3 linked regions of the Canis lupus familiaris genome follow. The protein of the gene in region 1 purifies or fractionates together with the protein of each later gene. This does not show direct contact. Links are inferred from orthologs where the notes say so. Each region holds a gene or a part of one and is shown in the gene's direction. Other genes may lie near its edges.

Region 1 (7,540 bases):
ATTTTTTTTAGAAAGTTCTGTCATTCTTCATTTATTGGCAGAATGTACCTCAAAGAGAAACTTCCGTGCATCAAACTCTTTGGTCACTTGTGGGAAAGGCAAAATGCATGCTCCCTTTCTTTAAAATAAATATATCTCCGTAAATGCCAACCATGACCAAGAAAGAACATTAGCAGCAGCCCAGAGCCCCTCCTGTGCTCTCTCCCTCAACGACACTGATCTGAACTCTGTTGCTATAGCTGAGCTTTGCCTGTATTCAAATCGTATAAACTTGAAGTCCTACTGTATGTATTTCTTTTATGTCTGGATTCTCTTGTTCAGCATTACTTTTGTGAGAATCATCTATTTTATGTGTCCATTCTGGTGAGTGTACAGTGTCTGCGGTTTTAGTTTTTATTTCCCTGATAGTTATTTTTCTTGGTCCTGATTTTCCCTCTCTGTATTGCTAGTCCAAGTGAATGTGCCCATTTTTCTATTGGGTTATCTCTTATTTGTGGAAGTACTGTATACATTCAGAGAGGATTCTTTTATTTAATTATTTTTTTAAAGATTTTCTTTATTTATTCATGAGAGACATACAGAGAGAGAGAGAGAGAGAGAGGCAGAGACACAGGCAGAGGGAGAAGCAGGCTCCATGCAAGGAGCCCAACCTGGGACTCGATCCCAAGTCTCCAGGATCACACCCTGGGCTGCAGGCCGCGCTAAACCGCTGCGCCACCGGGGCTGCCCCAGAGAGGATTCTTTTAAAGATTGTTTATCTTCTCACTCTGGCTTGCCTTGTCTCTTAATACTGTTCTTTTGATGAGCAGAATTTCTGGACTTGTTAAATGTATTTCAATTAATCGGTCTTATTTTATGTTTAGTGCTTTTTGTGTCCTACTTAAAAGAAATCCTTACCTCCCCATGACTAACCCTTTTGACATCACTCTACTAGTCTAATAGCTTCCTTGCTACTATCATAAGGCATTCCAGGTTTATATTATACATTTCTTATCCCAACCTGGAGTCAGTCACTTCAAAAACCCTGGTTTATTTGTTCCTTTCTTTCTTTTTCTTTTTTCTTTCTTTTTTTTTTTTTTTAAGATTTTATTTTTTAAGTCATCTACACGCAATGTGGAGATCGAAGGATACCCGGGTGGCTCAGGGTGTGATCCTGGAGTCTTGGGATCAAGTCCCACATCACAAGTCCCGCATCAGGCTCCCTGCATGAAGCCTGCTTCTCCCTCTGCTTGCGTCTCTGCTTCTCTCTGTGTGGGAGTGTCTCTCATGAATAAATAAAATCTTTCAAAAAAAATAAATAAAACGAGACCAAAAGTTGCATGCTCTACCAACTGAGCCAGCCAGACACCCTCAAAGCCTAGTTTCTTTTTTCTTTTTTTTTTTTCTTTTTTAGATTTCATTTATATATTCAAGACAGAGGCAGAGACACAGACAGAGGGAGAAGCAGGTTCCCTATGGGGAGCCCCATGTGGGACTCGATCCCAGAACTCCAGGATCACTCCCTGAGCCAAAGGCAGGCACTTAACTGCTGAGAAACCCGTGCCAAGCCCTGGTTTCTTTTAGTGGAAAATAGTATTTGGAGACCATGGTATCCTTTAGGAATGCTCATTGTACCTCAGTGGATAGAGCAAAAAAATACTTATTTTAGACTCAGCCTTAATTTTAATTCCCCCTCTTTTTAAAAAAAAATATTTATTTGCGAGAGAGAGCAGAGTGAGTGAAAACATACATTTGCGAGGGAGAGGAAGAAGAAGCTCCCCACTGAGCAGGAAAGCCAACGCAGGGCTCGATCTCAGGACCCCAGAATCAGATTCCCAATTGACTGAACCAACTCAGGTGCCCCTTAATTTCCCTTTTAAAAAAAGGTAGAAAAGGAAAACTTAGTTTCAGAACATTTCAGTTAGATGCTAAAATAATAGTAGACCTAGCCAGTGACCCATATTCTCTTTTTCAATCAAATAAAGAAAATGTTTTATTTGCTAAATATAGACATTTACATGTCACTCTCTTTTTTTTTTAAAGATTTTATTTATTCATGAGAGACACAGAGAGAGGCAGAGACACAGGCAGAGGGAGAAGCAGGCTCCTTGCAGGAAGCCTGATACGGGACTCGATCCCGGGTCTCCAGGATCAGACCCTGCTGGGCTGAAAACAGGCGCTAAACCACTGAGCCACCCGGGCTGCCCTGTCACTCTCCTCCTGGTGACATGTTCTAGGTGAATGTTTTCAAAAGTCCTATTCAAAACCCTGGCCTCATTTTCTACCTCTGATTTGTTACAGATTCTACATCAGTCTTTATCCCTGATATCTTCCCCGAAAGGGACCATTGAGAACATTTTGGATAATGACCCAAGGGATCTTATAGGAGACTTCTCCAAGGTAATTCTAAGTAGATGCAAGGAGAGCTGCTCTGACTAGGTAATTTGGGCTTTAGGTGCTTCCTAGAAGGCTCCCCTGCCTTTCTCCCTCACTCGGTGGCTCTTGGCAATGCCCTTAAGGGGACACAATTTAAAGTTTTTGAAGATAAGGAAACAGACTCATGATCAGACGTATCTTGGTCTCTGTGGGACTATAGACCTTACTGGTACTAATCAGAGGAAGTAGGAAGCTACCCACCAGCCACCTTGACTCCAACACAAAGGCCAGGCTCTGATTATAAAAATAGTAATGCAGTAAAGTACAAAGAAATAAGAATAAACCTGTAGCCTTACTACACAATTGTATATCCAAAGGTTATCTTGGAATATCCAAGGTTGATGAATTTAATTTCTCTGTTGTCCAGAGAAGTATAGCCTTTGAAGGAGAAGGCCCTCAGGGGAGTGCAGAGGGAGATCTGCTGATGGCCTGATATGTATGGATTTGCTGAGTGGAAGAGTTAGCTGTCTTTGGGCTGTGGTGAAATATGAGGGTGGGACAGGGAATGTATCAGTAGCAGCTTGTTTAGACACATAGGATAGATGTGAAGGCTACCAGAGCATCATTGGTTTAGCTAACATTTGTTGAAACACTATTACATGTTAAGCAAAGATTCCAAAATTAAGTCCCAGTTCCTTCTCTCAAACAACTTATCCTGTGGTCAGTAAGACCTGTCATGCTGTCGACTACACAGTAGATGGAAGTTTATTGAGGGCAGTGTGAGCAGCCTGGAAGAAATAAAAGGGAGTTGTCTCACCTAGAAGATTGTGGAAGGTATGGGTCTGGGCCATATTTCATATTTCAGCCAGGTGAGTTTTGAAGAAATAGGGACACATAAGGGGGTTGAAAATAGGCAACAACTCCATCTGAATGGAAGAAGGAGCAAAGACTGTGTCCCCATTGGTGGAACCTTCCACTTGAATTGAAACTGTTGGTTATATTTGTCATAATGACCTTGCCAATGGCCATGGGGATGGGTGAGCTCTTGATTCAGCCAGTTGCCTTAATGAGTAATTGCTGGTGTGCTTATAATTGTTACATTTATCAGCCTTGAGATTTGCTTAAAAAAAATTTTTTTTTCTTTAAGGGTTATCTCTTTCATACAGTTGCTGGGAAGCATCAGGATTTAAAATACATCTCTCCAGAAATTGTAAGTCATCTTTTTGGATCCTGTCACCCATGAGGTATTTGGTTCTAGTTGTTCCTGACAACCAAAGTTGATTCTCCTGGGTTTTCTCTCCACAGATGGCATCTGTTTTAAACGGCAAGTTTGCCAACCTCATTAAAGAATTTGTTATCATTGATTGCCGGTACCCGTATGAATATGAGGGAGGCCACATCAAGGTATGGGTTCTTTTATTTATTATTTTTAAGATTTTACTTATTTATCCATGCAGGGAGCCCAATGTGGGACTCGATCCCAGGACCAGGGGATCACGCCCTGAGCCAAAGGCAGATACCCAAATGCTGAGCCAGGCGTCCCAGAATTTGTGATTTTTAAAAGGGTGTGGGATGGTCGGGGTGCCTGGGTGACTTAGATGGTTAAGCGTCCCACTCTTGATCTCAGTTCAGGTCTTGATCTCAGGATTGAAGCCTATTTTAAAAAAATAAAAATAAGGGACACCTGGGTGGCTCAGCATTTGGGCATCTGCCTTCGGCCCAGGGTGTGATCCTGGAGTACCGGGATTGTGTCCCAGATCAGATTCCTTGCATGCAGCCTGCTTCTTTCTCTGCCTGTGTCTCTGACTCTGTCTGTGTCTCTCACGAATAAATAAATAAAATCTTTAAATAAAATAAAATTAAAACGTAAAATAAAGGGAAGAGGTGGTAACACCTGGCTACTTAATAGCTCATGTGCTGGTTATGAGATTTTAATTTTTTAATATTAATATTAATTTCACACATAATATTCTTTTTTTTTTTTTTAAAGATTTTATTTATTCATGAGAGACACACACACAGAGGGAGGGAGAGAGGCAGAGACACAAACACAGGCAGAGGGAGAAGCAGGCTCCATGCAGGAAGCCCAACAAGGGACTCCATCCCGGGTTTCCAGGATCACGCCTTGGGCTGAAGGTGGCGCTAAACCACTGAGCCACCAGGGCTGCCCTGGTTATGAGATTTTTTAAAAGACAATTTGATTCCTAGTGCACTGAAGAACGTTCCCTTGCCCTACACTGCTCTTCACCACATTGTACAGCAAATGCTGCCTGTCCTTTGCTTCACACCATCACCATCAAGGGCATTTCTAGGTGGTGCCCACTGATTTCTAAGCCAGGCCTGGGCACCCCAAGGCTTCTGACCAGAAGCCAGTCTGGTGACATGTCCTAATCTATGCCATACTTAGTGGTGCCTCTAAGTCTGTAGTTGAATTAAGCTGCAGGGTGGAGGGCAGGTGTTGGGTCATGCTTTCCCAGGAAAAAAGTAATTGGTTGTGCCAACTTCATCTTTTAACCAATAAAATAGTGTTGAAATACAATAAAAGGGTACATTAAATACAACATTAGCATTTGCCAGTGTCTTAGTAGCTTTCAAAAGTTCCGAATTCATAAATACCACTCCTGTCTGCCATAGTCATAACAGAATATGAGGTGCCCAATTATAGGTGACTCTCACAGAAGAATCATTGGCAAGTATGTTATGCCCAGGTTCCAAGAGTCTCTGGTGCCTTCACAGGGTGCAGTGAACTTGCACATGGAAGAGGAGGTTGAGGACTTCTTACTAAAGAAGCCCATTGTACCTACCGATGGCAAGCGTGTCATTGTCGTGTTCCACTGCGAGTTCTCTTCTGAGCGAGGCCCTCGCATGTGAGTACTGCATGAAACTGGGCTCTGCGGCTCAGGCCTGCGTTGACTGGTGGGATGTGGCAATGGATGGCTCACCCTCAGGGCGTACTTCAGTATACCGAGCAAGCACCCTCTCCCACATCCTGAATCATTTCCATGCCTTAGCCTGCGCACATGACTTGTAAATGTTCACTTTTGTGAAATTTCAAATTCATGTGTAGCAGATGTGTGCCCAAATCCTTATCTATTAAGCAGTCAATTTGATGAACAGCTTCCTTGAGTATGGCTTTTTATAGGCTTGACCTATCAGTTTCTGTGGCCAAGGGCTTTAGGCCTTCTCCAGCCCAGCCCTGTCTCTGGCTAGTATGGTAGGTGCTGGGAGTACAGAGGGCCAGCTGGAGACGGGGGTGAGGGCTGAGGCAGGGTGGAATGCAGCCTTGATTGGGGTAGGACAAGGTAGACTTTTCATGGGCCCCTAGGCCTGGATCCTTGTGCACTTTTCATTTTGAACCAGTTCTAAAGTCAGGCCACACGGGGGCGCCTGGGTGGCTCAGTCTATTAAGTGTCAGACTATGCTAAAATTGTGAGATGGAACCCTATGTGGGCTCCATGCTCAGCGGGGAGTCTGCCTGAGATTATTTCCCTCCCTCGGCTGCCCCTCCTCCCTGCTCGCACATGCTCTTGCTCAAACATAATCTTTTTTTTTTTTAATTTAATTTATTTATTTAATTTTATTTTATTTTATTTATTTTTTTTATTTATGAGAGACAGAGAGGCAGAGAGAGAAGCAGGCTCCCTGCAGGAAGCCCGATGTGGGACTCAATCTGGGGACTCTGGGATCACGTCCTGAGCTGAAGGCAAATGCTCAACCACTGAGCTACCCAGGCGTCCCTCAAATATAATCTTTTTTTTCTTTAAGAAAAGAAAAAGGCCATTTGCCCACATGTGCTTCACCTGACTTCATCAGCAGCTTCTGTTTTGCTGCATTAGCACACATAGAATTACACACATAACTACAACAGGAACTTGTCTCCCCACCAACCTCCTGAGGACAAGGACTTGTCCTACATTAAGCACAAAACTGTGATCACATGAAGGGGTAGGATTTGGGTGAGGACTAACGTTCACTCACTCTACAGGTACTTCCCATTGCCTCTCACATGCGAAATAGTGTTCTGATTACTGTGGAGAACAGCAAAATGTAGGAGAACAAAAAGCCCTGCCTTCACGGAGCTTGCATTTCATACTGGGCAGGAGCAGACAAATATAATAAATAATATGTTAACTACTCTGTGTTAGAAGGTATTTCAGAGACAAATAAGATGAGAGGTGGGTGCTCCCAGGAAGTTTGGAGGAGCAGCAAGGGGGCCAGAGTGGCTGGAGTAAAGGCTGATGGGGGAGGAGGCAGGGGCAGGGTACCCAGTTGGGGGCCACTGTAAGGATTTTGGCTTTTGTACCAAGGGTTGGTAGGTAAGAAGCCACTGCCAGGTGAGGGTATTAGTGAGAGTATTTAGTATTCCATGCAGGAGTACAAGTAGGTGCCTTGAGGCAGGAGCAAGCTCGGCTGGGTGGCTGGCTGGCTGGCTTGTTTATTTATTTATTTAAATTTTTGATTTATTCATGAGAGACACACAAAGGCAGAGGCAGAAGCAGGCTCCCTATTAGGAGCCCGCTGAGGTACTTGATCCCAGGACCTTGGGATCATGCCCTGAGCCAAAGGCAGACACTCAACCACTGAGCCACCCAGGCATCCCAAGCTCTGCCTATTTAAAAGCCACAGGAAGAAAGCAGCTGGCTTAGTTAGGAAGTGAGGGAGGGACCCTAGTGGTGAGGAGCTGGAGGGTGTGGTGAGCGGAGATTGCAATGGGGAGCCGTCACTCCACATGAGGTGTGGGTGGTAGCATAGAGGACCTTGGGCAGGGGCCAGACAGTAGGGCCATTGAACCTGGAGGAAGGACAGCTTGGGAGAGACCATCCATCTCCCTATGAACTCTTCCTAAAGACCACATGTGGCCTGGGACCCACAGCTCAATGCTGGTTTCTAAGAATGACTGGGAAAGTGAGAAGTTGTGTGTCAGGAGTATTCGCTCGGCACTGCTGTGCTCACCGTACCGTTAGTTCGGGTTGCCCCAAGTTAGGAGAGCTAACCTTGCTCTGGCCTGCCTCCTCGCTGCTAGGTGCCGGTACGTGAGAGAGAGAGATCGGCTTGGTAACGAGTATCCCAAACTCCACTACCCGGAGCTGTATGTCCTGAAGGGCGGGTACAAGGAGTTCTTCCTGAAATGCCAGGTGAGGCAAGGTCTCTGGAGAGCACGGTGCACCCCTCACCCAGGCTGGAT
Region 2 (7,008 bases), on another chromosome or scaffold:
GGCAAGGTAAAAAAAAACTCCTGGCTGATGAACTCGGTTTCTAATTTTTTCTGTTGTCATTCTGGGCAATATGTACTTGTATAATACACATGCAAATTCACCATTTGAAATGAGCACTTCTGTGATTAGAAATTGTGATGGTTGGTATTCAGAGCACCAATTTAAACATTTCATTTTTCGATCCATTCATTCATTCATTCATTCATTGGACCTTCACTTAGCACCTTGTACATGCCAGATGCTGTGCTGGTACTAATAATTCAATGACATATTCTACATGGTCTCTACCCTTAAAGATAGAAAAACACATAAAAGTTCTTTTTTTTTTTTTTTTGAGTTCTTTCTTCTCCAAAGAAGTCTTTAACATTTTGCTTGCATAAAAATATGTTTTAGTGAAAGGAGCAAAAATTTAAAACAAATACGTTACGTATTAATGCACTTTCAATTTATATTGATATTCTCTAGTTTTCACATTATTTTTACTCATTGCTATCTTCATCACCAGCACACACATCAACCAACACAATATTTCAAGTATATCTAGTTTGCCTTATCATCAGTAACAAAGCTGAGTAATTACAGTATTGCCATATGGGTATGGAAGTTACAGTGACAGGTCACTGGGCCCATGAACTTCATAAATACTTGCTAAATGAGAATTAAAGTATAATGCTGATGAACACCAGGTCCAGGGAAATTTTTAAAAACCAGGCATGCTTTTCACTGTTCCCTGAGGGAGTCATGTTGCTCATCAGAACCAAATCTCCCTGAGTGGTCCTCAATGAGCAACACCCCTATCAACTACCATAACTCATGCTGCCTCAAAAAGGCAGCTGGACTGAAAATCCTTATTGTTTACTAAAGTATTCAGTATTCACAGTGCAAGAGTAGACTGTACCTCCTCCCTGACAGCCTAGCAGGACTAACGCCACTTGTCATATATTCCTGCTTACTCAAATCTTCACCAAAAACCCAAGTGTCCATGTCACCCTTTATCTCATAACCAAAATGCTGTTTACACCCTCTAATATAAGCTAATTCCCCTCCTTTGTCCTTCCGCCTAAATACCAGATTTTCACATAACTAGTTCTCTGTCAATGTTTAGGTCTCACATCAAATACCATCCTCTCAAAGGTCTTATCTGACCATGCTAGGTAGGTCTTATGTCATGCTCAATTATAGCACTATGTATTTCATTCACAGCAATGTCACAATTTGTAATTATAATTTAGTTTTTCTGGTTTACTTGCTTAGTAATTTTTTGTTTACTGGTTTATTACATATCTTTCTAAATTAGACAATAAAGTCCATAAAAGTCAGAGATGATACTCATGTTGCTTACCACTCTCCACCCAATGCCTACATCCAGCACCTGATATGTGCATAATAAATATATGTTGGATGAAAAAAAGCTACTAAATAGTTAACCAAGAATATCATTATATAAACAGAAACATACACTTTGCTCCATTTCTAGTGCCACTACCATTACACAAATGAACACCATTTAATTGGTTGAAACAATTTTTAAATGGTCTCCCAGCTTCTCTTGCTTCACTACTTTCTTCCCTTGTGAATCTGCTCTCTACATAGTAAGAAAAGTGATTTACAAAAAGTAAACTTAAAGAAGACAAAGTTACTTAAGAATTTTGCTTCCGAGAAAAAAAAAGTTGATCTATTTTTCCTTATTTTTCCCCTTATGTACAATTTAAAACCCTGGACACTATGTATACAACAAACATCTGAAGACTCTAAAATGTGGAGAGAGGGCATATCAGTAGAAACACAGAGACTCAAGGAATGAAAGGGTGGTGAGTTTCCTAGGCTTTCTTTTTGCCTCAAATATTCCAGATTTGAAACTGAATAACTGGTAACCCAAAAAGACCAATACACACAAACAAAGCTCAAACAAAAGTCATACACCCATGGAAATTTGAGAGGAGAAAATATACTTGGAAATGAGAAGGGCAGCAGAAGCCAAAGAGAAGGATTTCGGTATTGAGTGTGTGTATTTCCTTTCTCTCCTCTTCATTCCAGCTCACTGCATTCCTCCTCCTATAGTATACATTTAGATTCCAGATCTCCCTGCTGCATCTGCATGCCAATACTTACACCATCACCACCTCGCTTGACTCCACCACTACCAGATAGGCCCCAATGTCAGAGGAAATACAGAGGCCAGGAATGAAGAAAAGGAGAAGTGGCAGGAAAATGCAAGGGCAGACAGTAAGATACTGAATTAACCTCTTAGCTTTCAAGAAGTTTTCAAAGTACCAATGAAGAAGGGAAAAGAGAGGGGTACCTAGGTGGCTCAGTGGTTGAGCATCTGCCTTGGGCTCAGGGCATGATCCCAGGGTCCTGGGATGGAGTCCCACATCAGATTCCCCACATTGAGCCTGCTTCTCCCTCTGCCTATGTCTCTGCTTCTCTCTCTGTGTCTCTCATGAGAAAATAAATAAAATCTTTAATTTAAAAAAAAAAAAAAGAAGGGAAAAAAGAGAGGAGAGACCTACAATGGTGTGGCTCTTCATACCCAAGTATACACTGAGTATTTATTAGGAGTTGCAAATTTACTACCACATTCAATTAAATGGAGAAGGTTTTATGAAAGACGTGAAAGAAGAAAGAAAGAAAGAAAGAAAGAAAGAAAGAAAGAAAGAAAGAAAGAAAGAAAGACAGACATGAAAATGTGGGAATTAACTGAAAGAAGAATTTGGTGAATTGCCAAGTTAAAGGAAATTTAGGAAACACTGCAAAGATGTCAATATATCAATTAAACCAAAAAGAAAACTGAGTATTCTCAATTATTAATACATGATTACAACCAATATTATACAAATATATTTAAATATACAATGAAATATAAGCTATATTATAATTACACATCAAGAAAAAACTAATTAGAGGTGCTGCGGAGGAACGGCTGTTGACCCGCGGGCCTCGGCTCCCGGCTCCCGGCTCCCGGCTCCCGGCTCCCGGCTCCCGGCTCGTCAGCGGCTCCCGCGCTCTCCTCTCCCCCCGTGAAGACGCGGCCATGGCGCTCCGGGTCACCAGGAACACAAAAGTGAATGTTGAAAACAAGGCGAAGATCGGTATGGCAGGGGCAAAGCAGGTGCCTCTGGCCTCTGCTGCAGCCTCCAAGCCCGGCCTGAGGCCAAGAACTGCTCTGGGAGACATTGGTAACAAAGTCAGTGAACAACCACAGGCCAAACTGCCTCTGAAAAAGGAAGCAAAAACTGCAGTTCCTGGAAAAGTCATTGCTAAAAAAATACCAAAGCCTCTGGAGAAGGCACCTGAGCCTGTCCCTGTCCCTGTGCCAGAACCAGAGCTGGAACCTGAGCCGGTTAAAGAAGAAAAACTTTCACCCGAGCCTATTTTGGTTGATACTCCCTCTCCAAGCCCGATGGAAACATCTGGATGTGCTCCTGCAGAAGAATATCTGTGTCAGGCTTTCTCTGATGTAATTCTTGCAGTGAATGATGTAGATGCAGAAGATGGAGCTGATCCAAACCTTTGTAGTGAATACGTGAAAGATATTTATGCTTATCTGAGACAACTTGAGGAAGAACAAGCAGTCAAACCAAAATACCTACTGGGTCGTGAAGTCACTGGAAACATGAGAGCCATCCTAATTGACTGGCTAGTACAGGTTCAAAAAAAATTCAGGTTACTGCAGGAGACCATGTACATGACTGTTTCCATTATTGATCGGTTCATGCAGAATAACTGTGTGCCCAAGAAGATGCTGCAGCTGGTTGGTGTCACTGCCATGTTTATTGCAAGCAAATATGAGGAAATGTACCCTCCAGAAATTGGTGACTTTGCCTTTGTGACTGACAATACTTACACTAAACACCAAATCAGACAGATGGAAATGAAGATTCTAAGATCCTTAAATTTTGGTCTGGGCTGCCCTCTACCCCTGCATTTCCTTCGGAGAGTGTCTAAGATTGGAGAGGTTGATGTTGAGCAACATACTTTGGCCAAATACCTGATGGAGCTATCTATGTTGGACTGCGATATGGTACACTTTCCTCCTTCTCAGATTGCAGCAGGAGCTTTTTGCTTAGCGCTGAAAATTCTCGATAATGGTGAATGGACACCAACTCTACAGCATTTTCTGTCCTACACTGAAGAATCCCTTCTAAATGTTATGCAACACCTGGCTAAGAATATAGTCATGGTGAATCGTGGGCTTACAAAGCACATGACTATCAAGAACAAGTATGCCGCCTCTAAGCATGCTAAGATCAGCACTCTGGCACAGCTAAATTCTGCACTAGTTCAAGATTTAGCCAAGGCTGTGGCAAAGGTGTAACTTGAAACATGCATTGGAGTATTGTAATATCTGCAAATAAAATTGGCACCATGTGCCATCTGTATATATTATATGTTACCTTTACTTACTTTTAATAAAGCTTGTGGTCCTTTTTAACTTCTTAAAAAAAAAAGAAAAAACTAATTAGATATATTTTCTAAGTTTTCATTTTTTTAATTTAAAAAAATTTTTTTTAATTAATTAATTTGTTGTTTAAGTAATCTCCATATCCAACATAGGACCTGAACTTACGGCTCCAAGATCACAAGTCGGATGTTCTATCAACTAAGCCAGCCTGGAACCCCTAAGTTTTCATTTTTAAGGTACAAATTAGTGTAACCGAAACTGCGTGTACTAGGAGACAACTAAAACCTTGAAATGAACATTTAAAATATACAGTCATTAGTGTATGCAATATCTTTTGCATATTTTAATCTAAGCTTTTCAAATTCTCAATACCTTTTGATAATATTGGCTAATGTTAAAGTCAAACTATATATCTCAGAAACCATATTCTAGAATTTGCGTACAATATCAGTACCTTTTATTTTGCTACACAATTTAATGCCACTTACAACTTTTCTTTAAAAAAATAATGGTGAAGTGCTAAATTTTGCCACAAGGTGGCTCTTCCCAGGTTTTAAATGAACTGCATCATGTACTCAACTCTACAAAAATCAACATAGAGAACATAATATCTCTTACATTTCTTTTAAAGTGAATATTTGACATAGAGCCAGTATGGGGAAAAGAAGGAAAAAAATCTAAGCATGATACAATGCATATACAACTAAACATTCATTCCATGATGATGTATGTGAGTTTATGTCTGTGTCTGTGTGTGAAAGAGAAAGAGACTGTTACCATAATGTATATAGAGGACACTCCAGCTCCCGAGTAGCTGTAGTAAAATGTGGTACTAACAATGAGACTGAAAAAAGAGAAATTAAGGAGTCGACCCCATTTACAATTGCACCCCAAAGCATAAGATACCTAGGAATAAACCTAACCAAAGAGGTAAAGGATCTATACTCTAAAAACTACAGAACACTTCTGAAAGAAATTGAGGAAGACACAAAGAGATGGAAAAATATTCTATGCTCATGGATTAGAAGAATTAATATTATGAAAATGTCTATGCTACCCAGGGCAATTTACACGTTCAGTGCAGTCCCTATCAAAATACCATGGACTTTCTTCAGAGAGTTGGAACAAATCATCTTGAGATTTGTGTGGAATCAAAAAGACCCCAAATAGCCAGGGGAGTATTGAAAAAGAAAAACAGAGCCGGGAGCATCACAATGCTGGATTTCAGGTTGTACTACAAAGCTGTGATCATCAAGACAGTGTGGTACTGGCATGAAAACAGACACATAGATCAATGGAACAGAATAGAGAATCCAGAAGTGGACCCTGAACTTTATGGGCAACTAATATTCGACAAAGCAGGAAAGACTATCCACTGTAAAAAGGACAGTACCTTCAATATATGGTGCTGGGAAAATTGGACAGCCACGTGCAAAAGAATGAAACCAGACCATTCTCTTACACCATACACAAAGATAAACTCAAAATGGATGAAAGATCTAAATGTGAGACAAGAATCCATCAAAATCCTAGAGGAGAACACAGGCAACACCCTTTTTGAACTCGGTCACAGTAACTTCTTGCAAGATACATCCATGAAGGCAAAAGAAACAAAAGCAAAAATGAACTATTGGGACTTCATCAAGATAAGAAGCTTTTGCACAGCAAAGGATACAGTCAACAAAACTCAAAGACAACCTACAGAATGGGAGAAGATATTTGCAAATGACGTATCAGATAAAGGGCTAGTTTCCAAGATCTATAAAGAACTTATTAAACTCAACACCAAAGAAACAAACAATCCAATCATGAAATGGGCAAAAGACATGAAGAGAAATCTCACAGAGGAAGACATAGACATGGCCAACATGCACATGAGAAAATGCTCTGCATCACTTGCCATCAGGGAAATACAAATCAAAACCACAATGAGATACCACCTCACACCAGTGAGAATGGGGAAAATTAACAAGGCAGGAAACCACAAATGTTGGAGAAGGTGTGGAGAAAAGGGAACCCTCTTACACTGTTGGTGCGAATGTGAACTGGTGCAGCCACTCTGGAAAACTGTGTGGAGGTTCCTCAAAGAGGTAAAAATAGACCTGCCCTACGACCCAGCAATTGCACTGCTGGGGATTTACTCCAAAGATACAGATGCAGTGAAATGCTGGAACACCTGCACCCCGATGTTTCTAGCAGCAATGTCCACAATAGCCAAACTGTGGAAGGAGCCTTGGTGTCCACCAAAAGATGAATGGATAAAGAAGATGTGGTCTATATATATAATGGAATATTCCTCAGCCATTAGAAAGGACGAATACCCACCATTTGCTTCGACATTGATGGAACTGGAGGGTATTATGCTGAGTGAAGTAAATCAATTGGAGAAAGACAATCATTATATGGTTTCACCCATATGGGGAATATAATAAATAGTGAAAGGGATTAAAGGGGAAAGGAGAGAAAATGAGTGGGAATAATCAGAGAGGGAGACAGAACATGAGAGACACCTAATTCTGGGAAACAAACAAGGGGTAGTGGAAAGGGAGGTGGGCGGGGGGTTGGGGTGACTGGGTGATGGGCACTGAGGGGTACACCCGACA
Region 3 (7,572 bases), on another chromosome or scaffold:
GTATAGTTATAGTAGTGTAGCTGTTTTTCTAAGAGGAACTAGTTTTTTTTCTTTTCTTTTTTTTTTTTTTTTAATCACACCTAAGGTGCATTTCATGATTTGGATTCAATAAACACATTTAATGGAAAACTGTTTGCTTGGCTCGTCTTCCTTAAAATACAGTTTCAAAACCAATAAGACTTATTGTAATATGTCATAATGCTAATACCAGAAGTTTTAAGGTCATAATATTCGAAACTTTGGCAGAGGAAGGTTCATTATTAAATCAGTGGTTCCCAAAACTCAGGTCACTAGACTGGCTCTGGGTAATTCCTTCTTCTTCATCATCGTCATCATCATCGTCATCATTATTATCGATTATGTTCATTAGATATTTAATTCACAACAACCTCATATGAAGCACAATTATCACCCTCTTTTCCTGCATGAAGAAATTGAAGCACAGACAGGTTAAGTAACTTACTTAATGCTACCCAGAGGTAGTAAAACTAGGATATAAACTCTGACAGTTTCAAATTCCCTCCCTGTCCCTGCCCACCCAATTTTGACTCAGTAGATTTGGAATGAGCCTTGAAATCAGTATTGAAGTCCCCAGGAATTACTGCACGACCCAAGGCCCAGACCATCTAGTTTAAAGGCACATGTGAGAAGTCAGCAATTAGGAAGAGATCACAAAAGCCTGGGTAGAAGGTGCAGCGTAGGCTTCCTGGAGGGAGGGGTGTGAGCTGGATCTCAAAAAGAGAGCAGGGTTTACAAATGTACGAAAGGAAGAGGGAACTATTTCTGGTTAAGGGAGGAAGCAAGCACTTGTAAATAGTGATTTAAGACTGGTATTTGTGAGCCAACAGTAGGCCCAACAAGACCGAGTGAAGTTGGGACTTCCTTTTGGGAGGTGGCTAGAAATAAATTAGGGAAAGTAAGCTAGGACAAGATTGTGGCCAATCTTAAATGCCAGGTCAGAGCTTGCTTGGACTGATCCCTATGAACAGTGGCGTGTGTGTGTGGGGAGGGGGGGGGGACATTAAAAAGTTTGAAAGGACAAAGATATAGTGATGAAGGTATCAGCTAGGAGAGAATCCTCCGTAGTCAGTCACTGCACAGGCTGGAAGGACAGACAAGAGATCAGAACCAGGAAAATCATTTAGAAGGTTAAAGGAACAATATAGGTGTGGGAATATATCTTGGTGAACTAGTGGATGTGTATAGACCTGGGAATTACTGGATCAGGTTATGCTGCTGACCAAGCTGAGTGATTTGAAGCAAATTGCCTACTATCTCTCTGAGTCCTAGGATTCTTCACTGGAAGATGGGTATGATCATGATAATGTCTGACCTCACAGACTGAGCCAAAATAGAGGATTCCTCTAGGATGTGGTGACCAGCTCTGGGGTACAAGGTAAATGAGCCAGAATTTTGAGTTTTCAGGCCCCCAGGATTTAGAAAATGGAAGATACTTTATGGGAGACAAGGAAAGAAAGGGAACTAATACTTAGTGTTTGGGAATTATGCTGGGATTTTAGAGGAATTACTCTTTCCAACAACCTTAAGAGGTAGGGCTTTTTACCGCCATTCTAACAGCTGACTTAACTAGAGGAAAACATAGTTTGAGTCTGGATATAAACCAGGGTCTGCCTAAATCTAAAACTTCATCATATCATAAGGTTATATTGTAAAAAGTTATATTTTATTTCATTGGTTTGGGCCTAATATTCTAGTCTGAGACTATTTTGAGTTTTGATTCTGACATCTACCCAGGTCATTCATCCCTCCAAACTTCGTGTCATCTGAAAGGAGGACATCAATTTTGCCAAGATGGGGGTAGAGAAGATGGGGAAAGGATTTTTTGGAGTGAAAAGAGAGTAGATGGCCTTGATCTGTTAGGTCTAAGGCAAGGTCACACGCCCAGAGTAGGAGGGGTGTAGATGCAGCCTGGTTGTGAAGGGGCAATAAAAGCCAATGGAATAGTCTAACTGCTAAGAATGATAGTGCGGATGGGTAGAGAGTAAAGGACAGAAGGAAGTCAACAACCTGGACCAAGGCAGGGAGAAGCGGAGAGGGTGGTATGGGTGGATGAAATACTTCTCTCCAAGAAAAGCAGAGAATGGGATACACAGTAAAGGGAGAGGTGGCCCACTCAGCTGGTACATTAGTTGTGTGAGGTGCCAGGCAAGGAGGCCGTATGGAATGAGAATATTGAAGAACACAGGTTATGGGGGATGAGATGGGTTATTGTCTGAGGAAAGCTCAGGTTCCAGTAAAAAGGGAAAAGGGAAGAAATGAAAGCTGTAAACGGGAAGCCATATATGTGTCGTGGAAAGCACTGTCCACGGGGACAAGCCTTGCATTTTTACTTCCAGTCTTACCATGTGCCCACGAAACATGGCTAAATGGATGTAAGTGTTCTTTTGACTAGGTTATTTATAAGGATAGTAGATAAACCAAGAATTTTGACACCCTTGCACAGGCCGAGGTTACACACTTTGGGGAAGTGCAGTACTTCCAAAGGCACCTCGGTGTTCCCAGAGACCACATCTCGATAGAAGGAACCACATGGCACCGGCGGGATGGTTCTTCTAAGGAAAACCCCTATTACTGAGGATAAACTGTGGGCTCTGGGGGCAGCTTTGTGCTGTAGGCCTAGGGCTTGCACCCCAAGGTACTCGTAGCAGAATCCCTGTTCTGTTTTAGTTTGAAGCAAAACAGGAAGTTACATCCACCACATCTTTTGCCCAGATAGGCCAATTGGGAATCCTTCCTCGCGTGTTCGCGGGGTGGGCCGGCTCCCTGGTCCGTGGCGGGGGTCGTCGCAGGCGAGCGTGCTTGCCCCGTCCTCTGTCCCCCTCGGAAGGCGCCCGGCGGCTGGCTGTGCTGCCGAAATTAGTGTTTTAGAGTCGTTCCGAGGCCCCGAGGCCCCGAGCGCCCGTTGATGTCACCTGGCTGCCGTTCGCGGCTCCAGGGGACACGTGAAGACGTTTTCTCTGAGGTCGCCGCCGACCACGCACACCTGGGGAGCCTCCCGCGCGTCCTGATGGGTGTCTCCTCGTCGCGGGCCCAAACGGAGTTGGCTGAAGCGTTCAGCGCAGGGCAGCGTCCTCGCCGCGTTTCTCTCGGGGGGAGGCTCCCTCGGGAGCGGGGCGCGCCCCGCTGGGCCCAGGCTTTCAGGTACGGGCTGCAGGGCCGCAGGTGTCCCGGGGCTCGGAGCCCCCGCCCCCGGAGGCAGGAGGCGCAAGGCCCCCCTCGAGGGTGTTTCGGGGCCGCTCCTCCAGACGCGGGTGCCCTCCCCGCCCCCCGTGACCTAGAAAGGTGACCCCTCCTCGTGAGGTCCGAAGTGGCGGGAAGCCGGGTCTCGGGAGGCGCCCGGAGAGGATCGGGGCCGCGGGCGTCCAGGTAGGGAGCCGGCCGGTCGCGGGGGCGCGGGGGCGCGGGGGCGCGGGGGGCGCGGGGGGGCGCCCCCGGGGGCAGGGCAGGGCAGGGCAGGGCAGGGCAGGGCCGCGCCGCGGGGAGGCTTCCGGGCCCCTCCCGCGCCGCGGGCTTGTGAGGAGATGGCGGCGGCGGTTTCCCGGCTCCCCCGCCCCGGACGCCGATGGCGGCGCGTTCCGGCCCTCCCCCCGCAGCCTCTCCCCCGCGGGAGCCGGAGCCGGTGAGGCCGGGAGGGCGGGGAGCGGCGGAGGGGAGGCGAGAGGGCGGAGGTTGCGCGGCGCGGGCGGCGGCGGCGGCGGCGGCGGCGGCGGGCAGGGGGAGGCGGGGGAGGCGGGCGCCGTGTCGCGCGCAGCTCCAGGCGGGGCGGCCCCGCGCTGAGGGACGCGGCCAGACGTCGGCGGGACGGGGAGGCGACCGGGGCCGGCCCGGCGGCCAGGCGGAGGCGTCGCCGAGCCCTCTAGGCCGCAGGGAGATGCGGGTGAGTGGCGGCCGGGCGGCCTGGCGGCGCGGGGCCGGGGCCGGGGCCGGGGCCGGGGCCGGGGCCGGGGCCGGGGCGGGTGGGGCGGGCGGCGGCGGCGGCGGCGGCGCAGGCCCGGGCCGGAGCCGCGGTGTCGCAGTGACGGGGCCGCGGCGGCCGAGCACAGGCGCCCGGCGAGGCCTGAGGCGCCGCGGGCCGGCATGGCGGCCGGGCCGGCGGACTCGTGGGCGGAGGACGCCGGGGCGCGAGGGGAGCGAGCGGGGCCCGGGCCTGAGTCACCCCGGCCGGCTGCGGCCTGCGCGGGCCGCGGGCTCGGTGCGGCCAGGCCTGGACTACGCACTGGGGCGCGGGGTGGGGATTTAAAAAAAAAAAAAAAAAGCCCGATTCATCGCGTCTGAGCGTCAGAGGCGCCGGCCTTGCGGCGCCGGCCTCTCCCCCGGCGGCGACCGGGCCCGGCCTGTCGTGCGGCGGCCCCTCGGGGCGCCCGGGCTCGCCCCCATCCCCCCCCCCCGGGCCGCTAGTCCCCCGCGCGGCGCTTCCCCCTCCGACTCGCGCTCAAGAAAGTGCAGGGCTCGCGCGCCGGGGAGCCGGGCAGCCGGGCAGCCGGGGAGCCGGGCTCTGCTCTCGGGGTCCCCCCCGCATTGTTGCGACGGGGCAGGTCGCGATTATTGGGCAACAGTCGCCGCTCGGCCCGGGGAGGCGCGCGGGTGCGGGCGCGGCGGCCGGCGGGACGGAGCCCCCGGTGACCCTCGGCGCCCCCCGGTGCCCCCCCCCCCCCGGCGCCCGCGAGTCGGGCCGGGCCTCGGCGCGCCCCCGGCCCTGCGCCCGGCGGGAGCGCGCGCTGACCCCGCAGGTAACCCGGCGCGGGCGGGGTCGCCCCCCCCCACCTGTGCCGCGCCGGGGTCGGTGGCCCACATGGTTAAAGGGAGAGGGAGGCGCTTGAGGAACATTCCTGGAGACTTGAGCCCCAAAGTTGAGGGTTTTCTCTCTCTCTCTCTCTCTCTCTCTCTCTCTTTTGCCAAAAACAGGATTCTCTGTTCCGATTGGATCACGAGGCGGTTGCTCTTTAGTTCGTAGTTTGGGGTTAGCGGTGGTAAGTGTGCAAATACGGAATTGCAGTCGGCGTCCTCAAGTCCTGTATTTGCTGCTGCGTGTAATTGCCCCTTCCCTGGAGTGTGGCGTTTGAGACAAAGTGAAGAGTGGAGTAAGTGGCCACGCTGTTGTTGGAAACGCTCTTAGCGGAGTGACAGAAGGGCGACTAAATTCGCTGTTACCTCGAGCCCTGAGTGTGTGGGACCTAACCCTTTCCCAAAACGCCCCGCCGCAGCGTGTGCAGTTCTAAGTTTAACACCTCCTCCCCCTTGTCTACCTGATTCTCTGAAACGCTGGAGAGCTTATGGCTTTGTGTAGCGAGAGCGGAAATGTTGAAAAGCAAAACCAGCCGTTTTGTGGAAAAAGGAATTTTGGGTTTTCTTTGTTTAAAAAAGGGTGCTTGGATATTAGGATTTTTTTTTTTTTTTTTTTAAGTGGAAGTGCTATTTGTTGCTTTCCCCGTTAAGTCAAATAGCACCGCATTTCCAGTTCCCAAGCGCGCAAGCTTTAAACCCCACCGTGCCCATTTTTGGAGGTTTCGGGAGACTGCGCATCAAGTCTGAGAGAATTACTCTCTGAAAATATTAGACGTTTTTTTCCTCGTCGGCACCGTCTTTTAAAAACGATTTTGCCGAAAAGAAAAAGGAGACACTGTAGACAGGCTTAGGCTTTTAATTTTGAATACCCTCCCTCTCTCAGCCACATGCTCAGGTCCTTGCAGCCGTGTCTCTCAGTCCTAATGTCTGGGAGGCCACATCAAGAGGCCAGAGGGACACAGGAATGGCTGTACTGGTTCTGCAGTCTGCTTCCATGTCACAGCCCCTAAGACTCCTTTGCCTCTTGCTGAATATTGTCTGCTAGAGGTGATTAACTTAGTGTTGTCATTGCAGCCTTTATGCATTTCAGGCTATGAATTCCTTGAAGGTAGGGGATATGCCTTCCTTTTGCCTCCCCAAAGTAGCATGGAACTTGGTATCCCAGTTGTCTTTTGAATGAGTAAATCTGGAATGATTCTGATACCCAGTGTTTGACCACTTCTGATGTGGGCTGCAGAAAACCCTGCTTATGCTGGTAAGAATGAAAGTTTTATTATCATTGGGGTCATCGTTGGATCCAATATAGTGCCCCAACAGAAAAATACTCAGGTTTTCTTCAGCAGTGGGAATCTAGGAAAGTGTTAACAAGTGGTGAAACTTCAATTAGCTTTTTTCCTTGGGAACTAGTTTTAAGGTGCAGCTAGCTAGTTATTTATCTATCTATCTATCTATCTATCTATCTATCTATCTATCTATCTATCTATCTAATCTGTCCAGCAGAGGATTGAAGTATTTGCCCCCAGGTTAAATATTGTAGTCTTGCTTTTGAAATGAAATCCCTTGGTAGCTGAGGCTCTTCCCTGTTGTAGAGATAGGGCACGCCCAGCCCCGGCGGTGCCGGTGCTACTGGAGTCTGATGTGACCTCTTTTGCAAGAGAGGCCGTTCTTGGATCCTTGTGGGCCTTTGTTCAGAAATTTACCTCCAGTATACCCAGCAGGCTTAGTGTACCTTTCTTTGAACTTGGAAAATTAAAATGAAGTACTTTATTTTATTTTTAAGATTTTTATTTTTTTCACCCAATGTGAGGCTCAAACCCACAACCCCAAAATCAGGAGTGGAGTGCTTTTCTGACTGAGCTAGCGAGGCACCCCAAAATGAGCACTTTAAATTGACTTGCTACTTGCCGTTCAAATTAAAAATGAGGGCCCCCCAAATTTAGGAATGTGTGTGTATTTTTGTTCTTTGCTGTTTCAGCCTTACATGGCTTCCAAAGCCACAGGTCTTCTGTCCTCAGCAGTTGAGTCAGTCTGGAATATGATGTCTTTGGGGGACCATAGGCTTGTTTCGAATTGTCTTTTTTTTTTTTTAATTTTTTATTTATGAATGAGAGACAGCACAGCCGAGACACAGGCAGAGGGAGAAGCAGGCTCCATGCAGGGAGCCCAACGTGAGACTCAATCCTGGGTCTCCAGGATCAGGCCCTGGGCTGAAGGCGGCGCTGAGCCACCCAGGCTGCCCTCGAATTGTCTTTTAGTAGATGTGCCTAGAAAAAAGTTTACCATTTTTAAGGGCCAGTTCTAGGCTCACCTTGCTCTTTTTTCTGTTACCTAGTATTTTCTCAGTAAGGTGTATTTGTTTGCTTTTCAAAACTGAGAAGTAAACATTAAATGAAGAATACATTATATTTGAGTAAAACCCTTAACTCCATTCTATTACTGAGGACTTTTCAGCTCCCTGTTTATAACATGTACATTTGATAATGCGTGCTGTAAACAGAATTATGATACTTAATGATGTTAAAACATTTATTCATACAGATATTTTCCAGCCATGTGTCTGTTGTTTATTCGTTCATTTATTTTTACTTAGGACATTTTGCATAGAACATTTTGCTTGGTAGAGAAGACCTGAGGTCTAATTCAAGCTTAATTTTGCTGGGCCTATATTTCCTCATTTGTAAAAAAAAAAAAAAAAATAAGATGGTTTTTAATTGATACTATTTTAAGATTTCTTTAGGCCTTCTCAAAGTGTGTGGATTCTGTGGG

Evidence for each region.
Region 2: the proteins of CDC25A (region 1) and G2/mitotic-specific cyclin-B1-like purify together in Homo sapiens (affinity purification with mass spectrometry; 3 studies listed by BioGRID, with this or other methods). This does not show direct contact. The link is inferred for Canis lupus familiaris from reciprocal best matches to the Homo sapiens genes CDC25A and CCNB1.
Region 3: the proteins of CDC25A (region 1) and CUL1 purify together in Homo sapiens (affinity purification with western blotting; 6 studies listed by BioGRID, with this or other methods). This does not show direct contact. The link is inferred for Canis lupus familiaris from reciprocal best matches to the Homo sapiens genes CDC25A and CUL1.

Annotation. Positions count from the first base shown.
Region 1 is NC_049241.1:41,247,544-41,255,083, forward strand, and holds part of CDC25A (M-phase inducer phosphatase 1), read left to right. Parts: intron 1-2,280; coding exon 2,281-2,379; intron 2,380-3,502; coding exon 3,503-3,565; intron 3,566-3,660; coding exon 3,661-3,759; intron 3,760-5,091; coding exon 5,092-5,222; intron 5,223-7,378; coding exon 7,379-7,490; intron 7,491-7,540. UniProt on the Homo sapiens protein: Tyrosine protein phosphatase which functions as a dosage-dependent inducer of mitotic progression. Directly dephosphorylates CDK1 and stimulates its kinase activity. Also dephosphorylates CDK2 in complex with cyclin-E, in vitro.
Region 2 is NC_049250.1:29,510,634-29,517,641, reverse strand, and holds G2/mitotic-specific cyclin-B1-like, read left to right. Parts: upstream 1-2,939; 5' UTR 2,940-3,034; coding exon 3,035-4,318; 3' UTR 4,319-4,340; downstream 4,341-7,008. UniProt on the Homo sapiens protein: Essential for the control of the cell cycle at the G2/M (mitosis) transition.
Region 3 is NC_049237.1:1,739,004-1,746,575, reverse strand, and holds the start of CUL1 (cullin-1), read left to right. Parts: upstream 1-3,120; 5' UTR 3,121-3,387; intron 3,388-3,515; exon of another isoform or gene 3,516-3,640; intron 3,641-3,658; exon of another isoform or gene 3,659-3,898; intron 3,899-4,926; exon of another isoform or gene 4,927-4,991; intron 4,992-7,572. UniProt on the Homo sapiens protein: Core component of multiple cullin-RING-based SCF (SKP1-CUL1-F-box protein) E3 ubiquitin-protein ligase complexes, which mediate the ubiquitination of proteins involved in cell cycle progression, signal transduction and transcription.